Linked DNA regions of Coturnix japonica. The protein of the gene in region 2 binds, or shares a complex with, the protein of the main gene of each other region. Links are inferred from orthologs where the notes say so. Each region holds a gene or a part of one and is shown on either strand. Other genes may lie near its edges.

Evidence for each region.
Region 1: the proteins of AP2M1 (region 2) and P2RX4 are in contact, whole or in part, in a crystal structure (PDB 2BP5), measured with the Rattus norvegicus proteins. The link is inferred for Coturnix japonica from reciprocal best matches to the Homo sapiens genes AP2M1 and P2RX4. Residues at the interface, in NP_446289.1 of Rattus norvegicus: Phe174, Leu175, Asp176, Lys203, Asn217, Leu316, Ala317, Gln318, Lys319, Glu391, Val392, Pro393, Lys400, Val401, Arg402, Tyr403, Leu404, Ile419, Lys420, Trp421, Val422, Arg423, Tyr424, Ile425; in NP_113782.2 of Rattus norvegicus: Val375, Glu376, Asp377, Tyr378, Glu379, Gln380, Gly381, Leu382, Ser383, Gly384.

What each region holds. Positions count from the first base shown.
Region 1 is NC_029530.1:4,649,561-4,660,477, reverse strand, and holds P2RX4 (P2X purinoceptor 4), read right to left. Parts: upstream 6,840-10,917; 5' UTR 6,586-6,839; coding exon 6,452-6,585; intron 6,365-6,451; exon of another isoform or gene 6,249-6,364; intron 5,604-6,248; coding exon 5,456-5,603; intron 4,482-5,455; coding exon 4,410-4,481; intron 4,316-4,409; coding exon 4,243-4,315; intron 3,929-4,242; coding exon 3,832-3,928; intron 3,633-3,831; coding exon 3,552-3,632; intron 3,453-3,551; coding exon 3,311-3,452; intron 3,010-3,310; coding exon 2,873-3,009; intron 1,850-2,872; coding exon 1,756-1,849; intron 1,668-1,755; coding exon 1,602-1,667; intron 1,512-1,601; coding exon 1,389-1,511; intron 775-1,388; coding exon 742-774; 3' UTR 333-741; downstream 1-332. Other genes in the region: P2RX7 (P2X purinoceptor 7), read right to left, coding at 8,182-8,643, 9,109-9,204, 9,862-9,978, 10,075-10,140, 10,572-10,665. UniProt on the Homo sapiens protein: ATP-gated nonselective transmembrane cation channel permeable to potassium, sodium and calcium. CTP, but not GTP or UTP, functions as a weak affinity agonist for P2RX4.
Region 2 is NC_029524.1:13,837,471-13,845,875, forward strand, and holds part of AP2M1 (AP-2 complex subunit mu), read left to right. Parts: intron 1-299; coding exon 300-305; intron 306-1,997; coding exon 1,998-2,263; intron 2,264-2,411; coding exon 2,412-2,494; intron 2,495-5,300; coding exon 5,301-5,306; intron 5,307-5,838; coding exon 5,839-5,974; intron 5,975-6,068; coding exon 6,069-6,210; intron 6,211-7,021; coding exon 7,022-7,033; intron 7,034-8,405.

The DNA.
Region 1 (10,917 bases), on a different chromosome or scaffold from region 2:
GAGTGGTTTTGTTCTGGTTTGGTTTTTTTTTTGGTGGTCCCCTCTAACCTGTCAGGCAACTGATCTGTTTCTTTTCTAGAGTCCTGAACTATTGCAGATTTTTATACTGTTTAATGACCAAGGCTTGTGTTTCATTCTTACCCCTTTATTATGCATTTAACTTTTATCAGGTGTATCGAGTTTAAATACTGTGTATTTACCACTTTTAAATTATATAACCTAAGAAGAAAACAACTAAGTGTTTTTCCACACAGCTGTTCAAGCTTCTCTGTACAAGCTGAAATAAACGATGTGCAACCAAACCCCAGTCAGTTAATCAAGGGGAGCCATTATCATATTTGATTGGTTTTTATCAAAGCTATGAGAGTTTGCATGTTCCCTGTGAGGAAGAGTCTGTGCTTCTTTAAGGGCTTCATCACTGTTAGCAGTGAGCTCGGGGAAAGGACTGCTGAAATGACAAGGACGGAGCAGTCCCTATCCCAGGTCTGCTGGTGCAGATGTCTGGTATGAGGCCACAAGGCTCTGCATGTGCTTGGTGCAGTTAACCTGGAAAGAACAGACAAGGAGCAGATCTGGTTCTCCTCTTCAGTTCTGGCCAGCCAAAGGTGATGAGTAATGAAGAAGGTCCCTTTCTTAGGTTCTGTTCCCCCTTCCTTCCAAAGGAGAGGGGTAGTTCTCACAGCAGGGTTACAGTAACATTCACAGTGTCCCTTCACATCCAGTTGGTGCAGCAGCAGCAGGTCAGGAGTTTGTTCCGTACGTCTCACTTGTGCCCTGCAAGGATCAGAAGTTACACTTCTCTGCCAGAAAACTTTGCTTTCTCCCTCTTTTATCAACACAAAACCCTCTGCACAGGAAATCTCTGCTATTGGATTCAGATTTTACAGTGCCATTCTGGATCAGAAATGCTCCTTCTGCAGCATTGCATCCCACCAAGCACAGGGCTGCATAGCACAGTTCTGCCCTCAGCAATAGTCAAGCAACAGCCCCACCAGTGGCAAGAGCAGGGCTAAATCCTCCTACTGGCTCAATGGGTCGTTCAGATCCTGGATGCTGGTGTAGCTGTGGCTGCAGCAGAAGGAACCTTTGGAGGCTTTGGGGGGATTTGATGGAGCCAGAGCTGACTGCAGCATGCAGGAGGCAACTGCCAAGGACAGCAACCCAAAGAGAGATGCAGTGGGAGTGTTAAGTTCTCGAATGTAGGCTTCCCTCTTTAAGAGTGGTTGCCCAGGAAACATAATATTGTTTCTAGTGCTTCTCCCAACAGCTTTGAGGTAAAAATGAACTGCTCCAAGGAAGACAGTTTCCTCACAGCTGCAGTACAAAGTCTGTGTATGATATGGACTCTGTACATCCTGCTTCAGAATCAGAGAAGGAAACAACCCTACCTCCATTCTGCCTTTGTTCGTGCTTACCACTTCGTAATCCTCCACATATTTGTACTTCTTCTCCCGATAGAAGTATCTCTTTTTCATGCAGTACAGGACAATGATGTCACATAGCACTGTTGCCTAGTGGAGATGGAAAGAGTTCAAGACAACGATCCTCAGAACTCAGCTGCTAGTGCGAAGTTCAGTCCAAGTGCAGACAGTGTCACTTACCGCTCCAAACAGCGCTAAGCCAGAGCCGATGTTAATCATTGTAGGAATTACATCAAATTTGCCTGCCTGGAAGACAGTTACGAGAGTTGATGACTGCTTTTCAGCATCTCTGAAAGCTCTCGGCCCACAGCCTCGAGGAATGAAGCTGCCCTACCTTTCCAAACACTATGATATCAATGCGGATGCCATAAGTTTTGGTAAGCGTTCGTGTTTCAATGCCACTACTATCCTTGTAGTATTTTGCAAACCTGGAACAATAGGGTAGGTTAGAGCTCAGCTGGAAACTTGGAGGTTTCTTGTATGCTTTTCATGCAACATCCAGGTGTGTTCCCCATCCCAAAAGGATGGGCTAAATGTTTGTACATGCAAGCAAGCGCATGGAGGGGAAAAGCCAAGAACAGATGAGTTTAAGACAACAATTAGTAGCAGACAAACCAGGAGACCTCTAAAGCAATAGGGAGGGCAGCAAGTCAGGATAGTGGGAAGAAATTCAGCTGCTCATGAGAATCATCCCCTCAGACAAGCAGGATGCTGCAGCAGTGCAGGCAGCCACGAGAGGGCAGGGAGCAAGAGAAGCAGCACAGCTCAGCTTGGCACACACAGGCAGTTCCTGGTCCCACACCACATGACTTGCACGCAAATGATACAGAAAAGGAGTAAGAACAAATAAGTGAGATCAGACTTACTGCATCACGTGGTTCGTTATGCCAGGAGGAAGCAGAGAAAAGGAGAGAAGAGGAAGGGCCTGTAAGGGGAGGCCTGGAATCTGCAAGAGCACCTCGGGGCCTGTGATACCCAGCCTGCCTTGTCTGACACCCCAAAACCTGCTGGCACGGTGGGGTATGCCAGAAAGATATTCTTGGTGCACATCAGATCCTTGACTGACAGAGCTGCTTTCCCAAGGTCAGCTTTTCCCTTGCCTTGAACAGTGAAGGAGACCCTTCTGGCTCCCACCCCCCTCAAATTCTGCCATATCAGCACACCCCGAAGCAATCATTCCTTGCACTGATGTGCTGTGGGAGGCTGGCCCCATGGTCACCTACATGCTGAAGCAAACGTGACTCAGACAGTCACAATCAGCGGAACTTCCTCTTTTGTTGTGGTTTACATACATTTCATAGCAGCAGAGAAAGCCTCAAAGTGAGATTTACAGCAGCAGAGAAACTCCAAGGACTGCCTGCAACAGTCAGAGGAGAGGGAGCAGCCCGGAACACTGCACCCATGGCAGACTGAGCCATAGGGACATCAGGGTCCATTCCTCACTACGTTACCTGAAGTTGTACCCAGGTGAGATGGTGTTGGCAGAGTCCTTGTTGTCCAGGCGCCGGAAGGAATACTTAGGCACACAGTGGGAAGCAGCTCTGTCAAGGTTGCAGTCCCAGTTGATCTGCAGCCCCATGACCCCACCCTGCAGAGCAAAGAGGAGGAGATGGCGAGTGATCCAAGAGCCCAGTCAGTCTAGCACAGGGCTCCCAGGCTGACCAGAACCCCAATTACTGGCTCAGGGCCCAGTCCACCCTCTTTCCCTACATGAGGGCCTTGCACTTATCCCCAGCCAAGGCCAATTACTTGTTAAGAATTGATTCTGCTCCCTCCAGCCAGAGCAGCTCTCCATTCTGCAGCTATCCCATGTCCTGTGGCTCATGCCACCAGGTGGAGAGGTGTCTGCCCTACACAGCTGAGCCTCAAGAAGAGATTCTGCCAAGTACCTCCACAGCCATTTCCTGGAAGTTCTGCCCTGCAGCTTTAACTATGTTCCCCAGACGAAAGATAGGACAGAAGGGATCTGTCTGGGCATCATAGATGCAGTTCTTGAGATAAGTGGAACTGAAAGTGGGGAGGATGTTTCGCCTGCAAGGGAACAGAGAGATCTGCTGCATCCTCTTGTTTCTCCAGCTCTCCTTTACTGTCTGAGAGGCCGGGCAGTGCAAAGCTTCACACGCTGCTTACTTGGTGAAGTTGAACTTGGAATACCAAATGTTGTTCTTTACCAGAATGGTGAAGTTCTCAGCTTCTTGCAAGAATGCTGGCCTGAAAAGCAATAGGAAAAATAATTAAGTTCCATTTATATTTTCACAAAGTCTTTAATGCTGCAGGGCCTTTGATTTGTAACCTCTTCAGCTTCTCCCACTAGTACCCCATAGGAAAAAACACTGGCTGTGGCAGGCTGGCTGTGTATTGTGGGCCTCCCATCAGGAGAAATAAGAGAGGGTAGGAAGACAGCTCTCACTTGGGTATGGGATAGTCATCCTCCACAGGGCACCACGCAAAAACTTCACAGGTATTGATGCTTCTGTTGTATGGTATGCACGCCCCGGTCTGGATACCTGGAAAGACAAGTGGATGGAGGTACTCCCAAACAAACTAAAGGGCAGTATTTGCCTTATGGAGAAGTGTCAGTACCCAGTTCCCCCACTATCTTCCATTATAATGCAATTACAGAGAAATTACTATTTTCTGAGTCAAATTCTCACCCAACACAGTCTCTTCCAGAAGAAAAATATGAGCTTCCTTCTCAGTTCTCTTAGGTATGAAAGAATGAGAACAAGGAGACTCAATGAAATGCTGCTTCCTTCACAAGGGATTGGAACCAAGCAGCGATGGCACAGAATGCAAGGAGCCCCTGCAGCAAGCTTCCTACCATTGCTGTGGATGCTGACGTATCCTGGAACGCAGCTGCTGTTGTCCTTGCACACTGTGTTATCATCTGGAAGCTGGACAGGAACAGGAATTAAACAAAACTCAACCAACTCTTCCTCCTGCACTCCCAGCCACGCTGGGCAGGATTAAAGCGGATCCTTTACACACCTCTGCGCAGTGGCCTTGGTGCTGGTTTGGTGTGACTATCATGTTGGTCATGATAAACACAGCGTTCTTCTCCTGAGCATGCAAAACAAGAAGGAAATGTAAGAGTGACAATCTGCAAAACCTATCCAAAGCACCGCCTCCAAATGTCTCTGCTAACAGAGCTCAGGTGGCCATGCAGAGGGGATTTGATTTGGATGGTGCAGGTGCAGCACTAAAGGAGCAGGTTCACGCATGGAATCGCTTAATCCTGGAGTATGGGACAAAAAGTTCTTTCTGTCCTCACGCTTGGCTGGAGTTTCCTCATTTACAGTATGAAGTTACTGAGGGGAGTTTCAAGGCAGGAAGTGAAATAGAAATCCAGCTGCTAGTCTGAGCAGACCTCCCATTCTTACTTTTTGAGACAATTAATCTACTGTGCATTTGACCAGTCTGGTTTGTTTCTGCAGAGAATACCGCTTCAATTACACTCAGATCTGTATGACTCAAGGATCTGTTGTTTGCTTCTGCTCTGCTAATATGCAAATATCCTCACTCTGCCAAAATCTGGCTAAATCTGTTGCTTTTTCTGCACCTCAATTGATGCACGCAGTGACCCAGGACGTGCAGCCTGGCCCTGCCTGCCAGCCCTGAAGGCCAGGTACTGCCCACGCAGCACAGGCTCCTGCAGACACACCAGCAATCAGTAAGCACAGCAACACCTCCCATTTGAAATGAATGTCAGGCTATTCCCAGGGTTTCTGCCGCCAAATTAGCTTTGAATTGTTTGCTTCAGGGGAGGATGCGTGGTTGCTGCCACAGCTTCTTCCTGAAGTGTGCAAATTCTCCCTCCTGAGCAAACAGACGTGCTCACTTCTATTGAAAAGGACCAGTGGAGGAACAGCAGGTGATCAGCATGATCTGGAACAAAGCTCACTTGCTTTATTTGCTATATTCTCTTGTATAAAGGTCATGTTGGAGCAAACGCTACTTCAGCCCTTGGTGGACTTTGGCAGAGCAGTAACTGTTTGTTAGAAAACCCATCCTCTGCATGTGAAAGTGATTCATACCTGGGGAGGGATGACATAGTCAGCTACATCCCAGATCCTGGTTCCCAACGTGGACGTGTTTGTCATTGTTACTCCTTTCACCTTCGTGGTAACAGAACTGACCACAGAATCCGTCTCCTGGTAGCCCTTCTCCCACAGAAAGACCCAGCTGCAAGATAAGAGTTGCAAGGAAAAGCAAATAAAAAGCCAACCACATCACAAAACCCAGCTAAACACATCGAACAAGCACAGGGAAATTCCCCCTTTTATTCCTGTCTCCTGCAAAGGTGAGACCAAACAGCTTCATAGTGAAAAGCCACAGGACCAGCAAGCTCCCTCCTGGCTTTCTCAAGCGATTTGGCAGCATTTCATTACTGTGTAATGATATATAAATCCTCCCAGCCCCACCAGGTGAAGATGGGTTCAGAAAGGAGCTGTGATGCTCTCCAGCAACCCCCAGGAAAACAACAGTTCAGCTCAGTGCAGCCTGGATGGTCCTCACTGCAGTCGAGGTGGGTCAGGCCCTTTGGTGAAGTAATCAAATTTGAAGGGTATTTACTGCAAAAGCTGTGAGCACACGTGCTGTCTGTCCATTGTGGATCGTTTCAGGACAGCTGGAAATCAGGTTAACTTTCATGGCTTATATGGATATTTCATACGTTATTTTTAGGATCAGAACCACAACGGCTGAAAAAGAACCACTAAGCCCACCAAGCTCGGCCCCAAACCATCCCTGCTGGCCATGTCCCTCGGTGCCACATCCCCACGGCTCTTCACCGCCGCCGGGGAGAACAAATCCTTCCTAATATCCAACCTTTATGGGCTGGAGCAATCCAAACCAAGCCGGCAGCACACAAGGGCGCCGTGTCAGGCACACACAGCACAACCTTTGTCCCCGTGAGCTGGGAAGGGAAAGAAAACCAACAACCCCGCTCCCAACTTTTTGCACCCTCCGCCCATCACCGGGAGCGACCCTCCCTCCCGCACAGCCCCCACCCGAGCTCCCCTGTCGCTCACCCGATCACGTAGGCGAGGATGCCGAGCTGCACGGCGCGGTTGATGAGCCCGACTTTGCGGCTGCGGATCAGCACGATGCGGGGGGTGTCGTACTCGAAGAGGAAGCCGCGCACAGCCTCACCGCACGCAGCCATGGCGGCGGCCGGGGAGGGGCGGCCAACGGAGCAGCAGCACCGACCGGCGGCACGAACGGGCAGCGGGAGCCGGGATCACCCGCAGCGGTGCCGCAGCCCCGCGGATCGTGGCGAAGCGCTCGGGCGCTGCCCACGCTCAGTGCACGCCCCGGCGCTGCCCGCTGCCTGGTTGGAGAGCCAGGGCAGAGTCAGATCGGGAATAGGGGGAAATTCTTCTAAAGAGTGGTCAGGCGTTGGAATGGGCTGCGCTGGGAGGTGTGTTAGCACCCAGAGGTGCTAAGGAGCCGTGGGGGTTGGGCACTGAGGGGTGTGGGTGGTGGGCATGGCGGGGTTGGGCTTGGTGGGCGTATCTGGGTCAGCTTTGGTGTCTTGTCCAACTTCTATAAGTGTAATTCTTCCAAAAGGAAAAAGGCAGTGCATGTGTCAGAACAGGGCTGTTAATGCTAACTGCAACCTGTTTCCACTTGAGATATAAGAAACGATGCAATGTGAACACGGGCGCAATGAATGTATGTTACAGCTGAAGACACAACTGAGGCTTGCATCATCTACAGGCAATTCATTTTCAAACACATGTGGGAAATTGAAATGGCAAACCGCTGGTGTAGCTCAGAAAGAAGCTCAGTTGAGAGGGGTGCGAAATAATAGACATGGTAATCCACCTCACCTCATTTCTACAAGAACAGAACATGTCCAAAGGCAGCAGAAAGAAAGAACTGGAAAGATGTTGGAGCATCAGTGAAGCCACCCTGAATGTGGTGCTCCTGGGCTGTGATGTGGCCTTATGCATCGAAGCAAAAAGCAACCTGTGCTGTGCTGGGTTCCATAGGAGGAGGTGTAGGAGGCTGTGCCTGCTTGAAGCTAAGAGCAAACAGGAGGCCAAAGGCTTAGTGTTAAAATTCAATGAATGTGAATGAAATGCCTGAAAATGTTACACAGAGATGATGTAAGTATTTTACATTGTAATTCCCGATTTAAACAAGAACAGCTGGGATTTGCAGAAAATGCTTTGTGTCACTGAAATCTAAAGTAAGCCTGTTTAATCTGGATGGACTGTGAGGCCTTTAACAGTGGGTTGCAAATATACAAGCACAGTGTCTTCTATTAACTGTGATCCATGGTGGTGAGGCGAGGGGATAGAAATGCATTGGATGACATTTTCAAGTGGTATCTCTTGGGCTTCTTTCAGGGATGATGCCTTGAGAAGATCCTTAACTCTACCTTATCTTTAGGGTGTTGATCATCTCCTGATACATCTGGAACTTCGATACACACCAAAGCAAAGGCAAAGGGCTGGAACTTCTCATTAAAACATAGCACTAAGAGTTCACCCCAGAGGCTGCAATTCCAAACCAAATCAGAAGAAAGCACTTGAGCTCAAGACGCATGTCTAAGCCAAGCAGTAGGCAATAATGGACCCTCTCCAATGACAGCACACAAGAATTCAGCTGCATAACAGATCTTGGAAAGTAATATTCTATAACATCAATTTTATGATTCTATGATTTTACAATTCTATATGCTTTTTCTTCTTCTATAGGTACATAAAAGAAATAGGTTAAAAATCCACAGTATGAGCCAAGGTAAGCTGCATCCTCATTCCAAATCAAAACCATTATAGTTGCCGTTAGCTTTGGGATAAGTATTTCTAATCAGCCTCCTGCAGCAGCTCGGGATGATGGCTCTGTCCTGCATCTCAAAAGAGCCAAAGCGCCAGTGAATGTACTGCTTGTAAGCAATACGACGCAGCTGGCTGTTGGAATTGTGACCTGTCAGGTCCAGAAAGGGATCTTCATAGAGAAGGGCTTTGTTCAGAGTGTCTCTGGACAGCACCAGCTGTGTAAACCAATAGGTGGTTGTGATGCACTGCCCCGCTTCTTTTCGGCAGCAGAGCTGCTCGTGGTAATTCGGCATCTCCTGGCATTGGCCGCAGCAGCACCATTGGGGGCAGACAATGTTTTGTGTGAGCATCCTGAGCTCGAACTGTCCAGTGCTGTGGTTCATGTTGGACTCACGGGTGCAGCAGGTGCGAGGATCATTGAATTTCACAGGGCAGTTCTGGAAAACAATTCCCCAAATAAATGAGAATAGAACATTTGCTGCTGCTTCACACCACCTGCAGAGAGAATTTACAGTAGTGACCCTCAACATGTGGTGCTTCATTTGACACAGCACAATAGGCACAATGACGATAGATCAGCAGGTCTGGAGGAGGATTGTCTTTCTGTGTTGCCAACACCCACCACAGCAAAATCAAATCGACTCCTTAGAAGATGTTTCAACACCAACACACTCCCACTAGCACATGCCCACCACAGGAAAACAGCAGCTTTTAGCTGACTCTAAACATGCATCCTCTGGTCACAGGACTTACTAAATTGAAGGGGGAATATGAATCTATTTTCAGTTGCTTGAGGTTTAATCTTAAATACAGGGAGGGAGAAATCCAAATCAGTTTGAGATGACATTCCTCAGTTTCCTCCTTCAAGGAGGGAATCTCAAACATTAAGTGTCTGCATCTACCTCAAAAACGCTGTCCTTAGCATCCTGCAAGCTTGTTTTCAGAGGCATCTTTATCAAAGTAATGTGTGGCTGATCGACATAGGACACAAACACCACCTGTGAAGCAGAAGAAATCAGCACTGTCAGCTCAAGTAGTTACTTAGAGAACCGGAGACGGAACAGAGATCTCACCATGGGATCTTCTTTCTGCAGTCTGTACTCCAACAACTGAAATTGCATGCAGCAAGACTAGAGATTTCCAGTATGTGTTATAGCAAGGATGTGGACAGCAGTGGGGCCTGACAGAAGTAATGGCAAGAGGCAGTGCAAAACTAACTGTAAGAGTGTGCTTGTGAAGAGTCCTTGTGTGGAGAGTTCCTCTATGCCTTTCTTTAAAAGGCATGTCTAGCATGCTGGGGGATTAGCAGATACAGCCCAGTGAAACAGCCATAAATGTCTTGAGAAAGAGGAAGAGGTTGGCAGGGAAGAGGCTTTGAGCAATGACCTCTGAATGAACAACCTTTTCGCAGCACCTTTCTGTGAAGGGTCACGATTTCCTGGTGGGGCTCTGCTATGCCCAGGCTTTGTGTGTAAGCAGTGCTCAGCTTTCCTCTGGCATGAAAAGGATGAGGCAGTTGTCTTTGCCTGTTCCTTATTGTGCTGGATCCTGCAGTCCCTCTCACAAAACTCCCTGATCTCCTCAAGCCACAGCTGCAGGCTGCTGCAGAACAAAGCCCAGCAATGAAGGAGGAATGAACAATTTGCATTCCTTACCTGTTCTGGCATCAGCACAGTCTCATACTTCTTCCTGATTACATTTTCACAGAAGGGTATTTTGCAGCAGCTGCAGCAATTGTAGAAAGAAAAACACTTTTCTATAGCGGTCACAGCCTGCACATGAAAGAAAAGCAAGCCGTGATTCCACTTTCTTAATGAGACTCTATCCCCAGAACTAGTTCAAGATATGTGAAAAAATAAATCTCTCACCAAACCAAAATAGGTGATCATGGATCCAATGAATGTAAAGAGTTCAACGAGATTAAATTTTCCACCCTAAGGGAAGCAGAAAATAATGATTGGGAAGGAAGATTTCTGACCATTCACTCAGAGTAATGGCATTTCTGGTTTTGCCCCTTTGCAGTGATTCATCCATTCAGTCTCAGGATTTCACAGACCATCACAGGCACTTTGCAGGGAAAAATAAATAATTTGAGAAGGAAACGGTGGTGACATGCAGGGTTTGTGTCAGGCAAGAAACCTTGTTATGCTTTCAGTCTGAACAACAATCCTGCTTCTCTCTTAACTCTGCTGTTTCCTCCTAAACTTTGCTCATTACGCTGCCCAGCTGAGTTTAGATCAACTCATGACATGACTTCCATCCCAGAGTGATGGACAGAAGAAAGGGATAAATGGCAGAAGCAGGACTAAAGAAATAGCAAATTTCCTTCTCTCTTCCCTTCAGAAGGATCAACAGTCGCGCTTACCATGCCAAACACAAGGACATCAAACCGTATTCCGTAGGCTTTGAAAAGGGTTCTCCGCTCGCTCCCATCTGGAAGCTTATAGTGCCTTGCAAACCTGCAAAAAAACAAGTGAAGATCTGTGCAGCTGATGAATGTAATGATACAAAGCTAGAGAACACAAAAGGGAATTGTATGGGAAATCACAGCTTGAACCACTGATTAATTAGCTGAGGCAAGTGTTGGGTCAGCTGCAGGAGCACAGGTGAGAGTAATCTAGCTGTGCTCCTGGGAGGGGTGGACTTCGATTCCACCCCCTCTGAGACCTCATTTAAGGGCTGACCACCACTGAGGCAGCATCTCTTGGAGA
Region 2 (8,405 bases):
ACCCAACTAGTCCTGAAATTCAACCAAACGCAAGTCTGTGACACTGGCAGTCTGACCATGGCATGTCTGTGTTGTGCCATGCGAGGGCTTTGTTGCTGCCACAGCTTGTTACTTCCCAGCCAGTACTTCCTAGGCCTTCTGTGCCCAGGGGGAGGGGGTGCTGTTTGGTCTCTCCTTATCTCTTTGGATTCATTGTGCCTTGTGTGTGTGTGTGTTTCTAACCCTTTCTCTTGTTGCTGTCACTCCTCCTTTCTCCGCTGGCGCCATTTCTGTCCATCCCATCTCATTGGCTGCTGTAGCAATAGGTAAGAGACGCGTGGTAGGCCATGACTGGCATTGCAGTGGGCAGTCGTTGTGCTAGAGGAGCTTCACTGACCTGAAGCTTCTCCTGTAGCAAACACCAGTGTGACTGCTGGTTGTGGCACTAGTCCTAGTGGGTTAGGACTTGAGGCTGGGAGGGCTGCCACTCGGAGCAGGTGGAACTTTCCTTGAAAAGCTTACTGGAGGGGAGGAATGGGACTTCTAGGTGTTGTTTTACAGCAGGTTAACTACTTTCTTGTGGGGGAGAAAAAAAAACAACACCCAGATATTAATTTAAATCAAATTTACAAGCCTTCTGGAGCTGTTAAGCCTGGGAAGTGTTTGAATGCCAGAGTTTTGTTTATGAGGGAGGGTGTTCACTGAAGAGGCTTCTGCTAGGAAAGAATACCTGCTATGATAACGTGTTCCTCTGAATGTCCTTTGTTATTAAACTTGGAACTGGCTGCTGGACTGTTATGAGCATTTGCATGTATCCTTGCTTGCAAGGATGTTACTGCTATCTGCTCTCAGGCATGGTGTACATAATTGGTACCATGCCATTGACACTGCAGAGAGGAGAGCCCCTGTTGTTCTATGTGAAGGGTATGAGTAATAAAGCACTAGATGTGTCTTGGCTTGGTATGTGGACTGCTGCTTTTAAGTCTGTCCTGTTATATGAAGCCTTCAGACTTCCTTCCAATGTTCTTAAAATCAGTGGATTTTGACTTAACTTGAGGAGCTTATCCTCTCTTGTAGCTACAGGATGAAAGAACTCTATAGTGTGGGAAGGCTGACATCCAGAATATGATGCAGAGATCTATGCTTAGCTAGGACTGATTTGTTCCCTTTCAGTAGTGTATAGTGAAACTAGCTTGGTTTAACAATGTTAGTAGCTAGGAGAAGCTTGCACAGCACCTTTTCTGCACTGTGCTGGGCTCCTTTCCCATCATAAATGGTACTGGATCATCCAGTGCACATAGTGCATTGCTGCAAGAGACCTGCTCGGAAGCATAGCAGGCTGGAAGGGACACGTAACTGGAAAGTCAGAAATGTTCCTAATCCTGCTTGCTGCTTTCAGCCCGCCCTCCATGGTACCTGGGATGTGGAGGTGAGATGAATCTGGGAATTAAAACTGCCCTTTGTGGTGTGTGCACACGCACTGACATCTGTCAGGTGTCCTGGGCAGGTTTCCTGTTTATCTTTTAACTTGGAGGTATATCTGGGGGAACTGCCATATCAGGGGAGACTACGGCTTTGTTTTGGGACAAGAGTATGAAGGCCTTGGCATGTAGATTAGATAATAAATAGTCCAGTCAAAACCAGACTCTTCTTTGAGCCACAGCCTTTTTTAGTGTTCATTCCTGGCTATGGTAATCAATCAGCAAAATAAGTAGAAGGAATGTTTTCTCTACCATCTGATTCCAGGTGGAAGTCGGCTTTTCTTTCTGCCTGCAATTAGAATTGTCATACAAAACTGCAGAGACCAATAACTTAATTTCCTTGAGTTTTATACAGGATTTTAATATCAAAGTCTGCTCAGAGCCTTCATTTGTCCCTCTTGGCTGTGACATCCCCAGGCACTTATCCTAAGTAAGCTGGGTACGTGTAGTTCAATGTCTGACTGTAATCACGTAAGCAGAACTGTGCAGCCAACCTGTTTTTGTGCACATGGTGGTAACTTCTCTTTGGTCTTGTAGGCGGAATGCTGTGGATGCCTTCCGCGTCAATGTCATCCATGCACGGCAGCAGGTCCGCTCGCCTGTCACCAACATCGCCCGCACAAGTTTCTTCCATGTCAAGCGTTCCAACATCTGGCTGGCTGCTGTCACCAAGCAGAATGTCAACGCTGCCATGGTATTTGAGTTTCTTTACAAGATGTGTGACGTGATGACTGCTTACTTCGGAAAGATCAGTGAAGAAAACATAAAGAACAACTTTGTGCTGATCTATGAGCTGCTGGATGGTGAGATGTTTCCCTTCAGCCTGCTGTATGATTTCGCATTTGGTTGTTCTGTAATCCTTTCCTTACCATAGTTGTTAACGTGGTTGGCATGTCTCTGTTGCACTCCTGGCTTGTGGCTCTGTGCTAATTGTCTTCTACTCTCCTGTAGAAATCCTGGATTTTGGCTATCCTCAGAACTCTGAAACAGGGGCCCTGAAGACCTTCATCACTCAGCAAGGCATCAAGAGTCAGGTAACCAGAGGGATTTTGGCGTACAGCATTGCTCTGCTGGCTAATTTTCTGTAAGCTTGTTCAAGAAAGTGCAGTTAATTACCCAGCTAACTGTTTGACCTGTACTGGGTGGAGGTACCAGAGTAACTTAAGAATACCCTGGCAGTAATGTAGCTCACTGGCATCTTATTCCAGGAGTTCGTTTGACTTCATGCTCCCTGGCACCTGAGTAGTTGTGAGAGGAAGGGCCCTGTGTTAGGAGGGTAGTGACAGTTCCTTGCTTGTAAGTGATTACTGCCTTCAGGTACTGATCTGTGTCACCTTCCAACAAAGACTAAACACATCTGCCTACTGAACCAGAAATAGCTGTCCTGTGTGTGAATCTCACTGAGCAGATCTGCTCTCTGCAAGTCTTTGCTTCTTTTTAGCTATCAGGCTTTGTGCCTGGCTTTGAAATGAAGTATTATTCACCCTTCCGGTTCTTGCTGGCAGTCAGGAAACTGATGTTACTGTGTTGCTGCAGATGCATCTTTACAGTCTGGGATCTCTCATGTTAGAGGTGAGGTTCTCTGGCACAACAGTAACTCTTGCAATGAAGTATATGTGGGATTGGAGGATAAATTGCTCCTGAGGAGAAAAAGACAGAAGTTGGAAGGTTTGAGGGAATGTTTTTCAAACTAGCTCTATCTTATTGCTGCTGGTTACTCCTCAAAACTAGGTTTGTCATCCCAACTCATGCTCAACCTCTGTAAAACAAAAGGGCTGCTGCAGTTACTGTTTCTTGTGTTCCTGGGGCATATTGTTCTAATAAAGCGATGCAACTCGTTATGAGGACTCAGCCTAACACTTAATTCTATCATCTATTTAGTAAGTGAGTCAAGGAGAAGCTGGAAGTCAGCTTATACTAAAGCTGTCTGCAGAGTAGATCTGTATGAAATTTCAGACTCAAGATGTAAGCAGAAATGAAGTATTCAGTAGGAGACTGCCTGGTGACTGTTAAGGATAAGCAGAGTTCGGAGTCCCTGGAGGCTCTATTTTAGCTTATTTCATTAGCACTGACTTCCTAAAAAGTCCTTTTAATCATCTAGTAGCAACACTAGCAGTACCTCAAGAAAAGAAACTGAGGGGAAAAGGGTGGTAACAGCAGTGGAACAGGTTGCCCAACGAGGTTGTGGATGTCCCATCCCTAGATGCGTTCAAGGCCTGGCTGGATGTGGCTCTGGGCAGCCTGGTCTGGTTGTTGGTGAGCCCTCACATAGCGGGGGGGTTGAAACTGGATGATCATTGTGATCCTTTTTGACACAGGCCGTTTTTATTTATTTATTTTTTAAAGAGGGAGAAAAGCTGCCTCTGAGCAGCATATATTCTGCTAGAACAGCAGTGTTTTGCAAGAGGGCACGTGTATCAGTAGCCAGATGTGAGTACATCCGGTCTCAATCTTCCATCCAGAGCCCTGGTGTAAATCTGTTTGGCTTTCTGCAGTCTGACATTTTGGGCAGTCAGCACTCAAGGCAGCTGAGTCAGCTCCTGTTCCTAGGAAAGCTCCACCACCCTCATTTCCTTCCCTATTTATTTTGCTTTCGTCTGTTTTAACGAACTCTCGTGCTGTTTGTGTGCACGTTACTGCCACGGCATCTTACCTTGTTCAAGAATAGGCTTAGTCTTTCCCTTTTAAAGAGGAGTTCTGATCTACAGCTTTTGCTAAGCAACAGCCCACAGTTATCTGCTCTGTTCTGTGCATCCCAGTCCAAAAAGAGCAGCAGCAATCCTTTCCAGACATAGTATTTCAGGGGGAGCAATGGAAACGGAATTTTCCATGTTTCCATGTCTGCTATTTACTCTGGCACGTCGAGCCTCAAATTCCTCTTTCACATACAGCCAATTTCTGACAGATAAGTGGGGCTAAAATCTGGGACTGGATCATCTGTTATCCATGCTCCCTTATCTCTGCTTAGTTCGTGATGGTGTTTTCCTTGGGCTGTGTCCTACTGACTTAAAGGAACAAAATCTGCCTTTATGGCAGAATTCCTAAGCTCAGCTTTTTTTCCTTTTCAATGAAGAACTGAATACTCCACCTTTTGTGGTTACAGTGGTTCTTTCCAGGGCTGGTGGTCATTTTGTACTGCACAGAATACTTACCTAGGCAGCTCCCAGTGGAGTGTAAAACTCTCCCATGTCAGTATTCTGATAATGGTTCTGTTTGCTCAAGGAGTGACCAGTTCTGGCAAGAACAAAGCCAACACTGGTTTTAAATTGTGATCCTGTACTGCCACCCTGTGGGCCCAGTGCAAGGCTGCTGGGGAAGGACCCACCTTGCCATTCTGCTCCACTCTGGTGGAAGAGGCAGGATAAACGAGGACACAACTTCTTACAGGACTGGGTTTTATTAAGATGCCTGCAGCCCTGGGTACCTCAGATTAGGCATCTGTGCTGTAGTAAACATCCACACCTTGCTTTAGGAATGGCAACTTAAGGAGTTAACAACTGGGAGTGGTATTTGGTTTGTTTCCGCTGTCCTACCTTGTGCTGGGGTGGTGTATCATGGGCTGTGTCTGAAAAGACTTTTCACTGCTAGGGAGGTGTGCTGTGCTTTCTAAGCTAAAGGTTAAACCTCCTTGCCTTGTTTGTGCAGACTTAGTACCTAGTTAGCAATGAGCTGGCCTGCTTTGTTCCTGTCCTGAGGTAGCCTTAAGCCTAACCTGCCTCTTTCTCCCTTCCTCCTTTTTCTTGCTATTGACCTGCTTGCCTGTCTAACCCTGTGTACACCACACTTGCTGCTATACATCTACTTCTTCACTTTCTGCGTGTGATTGGACCCCGTCTATAGCATCAGGTAGGAAACCTGCTGGTGCCTCTCAACACAGTCCTTAAAGCTCATAGGAGGCTTAAAGCAGATACTGTTAGTTGTGAGATTAGTGCTGGAGTGCAACCATTGTCCAGAATGGCATGATAATGACTGCAGTCATTAAGAAACAGTTGTTACCAGCTGCCTCATGGTCCTAGGGTCTTACATTGGATAAAGGTACAAACTGCCCTGTCTCTCTTAAACACAGATTGATGCATTGGATGTGGTTTGAGTGTCATCAGTTTAGCCCAGTCCTCGCACCAAAATGAGGACTAATGTGCAACTAACAAAATGGAAGCAGCTTTCCTGTTGTCTCTGTGACTAATGTTTAGTGTCGAATTCCCTTGGCTGAGGAAGGATTGCTATTGTGACACTATCAGCTGTGTGACAGCACTTAAAATCTTAATTATCAAAAGTGTTTGTGTGCTGTAAATGGCAAGTACTTTCTTTTTCGTTTAAAGTAAGCTTTCTTAGTGCTTCAGTTTATCTAGAGACTTAAGATGTGATTCTTTCCCTTTAGACTAAGGAAGAGCAGTCCCAGATCACCAGCCAGGTGACTGGGCAGATTGGGTGGAGACGTGAAGGGATCAAATACCGTCGCAATGAACTCTTCCTTGATGTGCTGGAGAGTGTGAATCTCTTGATGTCCCCCCAAGGTAAGTGGGAGCTATTAAGCTGTCACCATTTTTTTTTTTTCCAGGTAATAGTTGAATGCTTAAGTATTCAGAACTGTGCTCTTTTCCACTCCAGGTCAGGTTTTGAGTGCCCATGTGTCTGGCAGAGTGGTGATGAAGAGTTATCTGAGTGGAATGCCAGAGTGCAAGTTTGGCATGAATGACAAGATTGTCATTGAAAAACAGGGCAAAGGGACTGCGGATGAAACGGGGAAGAGGTAAGAGGCATATGGTAAAGGGTATGTGCTACCAGAGACTCTTATGAGAGGGCAGTGCTTGGTAGCTTTTCTGATCTGACGGAAGCAACTTACCTTTTTTCCCCCTTCAGTTCTCACTGCTGTTTTTTCTCTGGATAGGTCTGTTGCTGTGTGAGCTACTAAACTTAGGACTTCAGTTAAGAAGGCTGTTCTATAGCAGAACTAGTGTGAGCAAGTGGAATGACTTGCGTGTCTTGGGTGACTGACTTCATGTCTGTACAGCAGCAGGTGTCTGGAGCAGTGGGTGCTCTGGGCTGTCATATTTAAAATTCAAGCATAATGATGAGCGTGGGGTCTTTGTACCTGGGAACATTTTCTCAAGGTGGATTCTGCCAGAGCTTCTCTTTAGCAGTTCTAGTCAGTACAGAATCTCTTAGAGGTTGTAGTCAGCCTTCCCAAGGAGCAGTGAAGGAACCCCTCTGTAACCTCTTCCACCCAGATTGCTTTTTATAAATCAGAACAGCAGACAAGCTGCTATGTAAGCCCCTACTGCTGTCACACAGGTGGCTGTGTGGTCTGGAGGCTCGTCCCTTCTGGGAGACCAGCTGCCTTCCAAATATGCCTCAGTCAGTATGAACCTTTAGAGCTGTGGATGGGTCTTATGCCTTCTTCCCAAGCAGGCAGGCAGGAAAAGAGGGGGAAAAAAAGGGACTGCCACTTTTCTCCCACTAACCGGTTTTGACTGAGCTGTGTTTCTTTTCTTTTGTCTTTTTGTTCGTGGTGGTGTTGTTTTGTTTTGTTGTTTGTTGGTTTTCTTTGCTGACCCCCCCAGTGAATTGGGAAGGTAGATAATCTGCTTCAACTGTGTGCGCTCTGCTCTTCTCCCTGTCTCTTGCTTTGTGTGATTTGTGCATGTAACTCAGACCTCAGACACTTTCCTAGATGGTTCCTGTAAACAGAGCTGAGCTGCTATTTGCCTTTTATCTCAGAACCAAGCCAAGAGCTATCACTTCACTGTCACCTTTAAGCTGTGTTTCTTGTAACCAAATCTAGTTAATAAGAAAATGGATTAGCCTCAAGTGGGTGGGGGAATACGCTAGGTGAAATATCTGGGTAGGCCTCTGAAGAGTCAGCAACACTGCCCAGAGTTCCTGTACTGTGAATGCTTTCACCTGTAAGTGTGCTATTATCTTGAGTTACAGAAGCAGAACAGACAGGGATTCTTGGTGGTTCTGCTCACTCGTGGTCCTCCAGCAGGCAAGAGGCAGGAGAATCACTGTCTGGAAGCATTTAGCACAGGTGACCTAAAGGAGCAGCTGCTGCCAGTTGCTTTTTGGCTTCTAGCCATGTGGCAGTGTCAGATCCTGAGTAATGCTGCCCAAGACCTGGGCTAGTGCTGGGCAGCACAGCTTTCCCTACAGCATCATAAAGAAACCAAGGAACTTGACATTCGTCTGAGCAACAGATCAGGAATAGCTGACTCCCACTTGTGAAGCACAAGCTATGCCAATGGCTGGTGTAAACTGACAGCCTGGGATAAGCCTGCTTCTCATTTGTGCAGGTAGAGGTGGCTCTTAGGGCAGCTGAACCTCCCTGTTATGTGTACTGTCTCTGAACATCGGCATGGTCACCCTGTTGCTCGTAGCAGTGGAGGCAGCTTAGATATCACAGCGCTATGTTATGTGGCGTCCCCCACATCAAGGTGCACTCATCCTTTCCCAGCCAAGGGGAGGGAGATTAAGGATAGTGGTGGCCCACTGAATCATTCAGGATACTGCATAAGGCATTCTCAGACTCAGAAATGAAAAAGGAGCGAGGGCGTGTCGAATCACATTATATGTATATTAGTTGCAACTTAGTTGCTATTTTCATTGTCCCTGGCCTAAAAAAACGCCAGGCGGCGACATTACTCCATCAAATTTCAAACACATCCACCTTCAAAACTGGAAAGCTGTATCGCTCCCAGTTCCATATGCACGTCACTCACGGCACATACGACTACGAAGTGACGCCATTGTCACATTGGATAAAGGCAGGTTTCACATTTACTCACCTTAGTTTTGTCCATAATGAAAAAGGTGGCTAGCTTAAAACCTGGTACAATTTGATTATGGGATAAAAGGGCCGGTACTTATAACAATAGACGTGGGTTGTTAAGCCAGGGTTACACTGTAGGTTAATGGGTATCGACTAATGTTTATATGGGTGGACTAAGA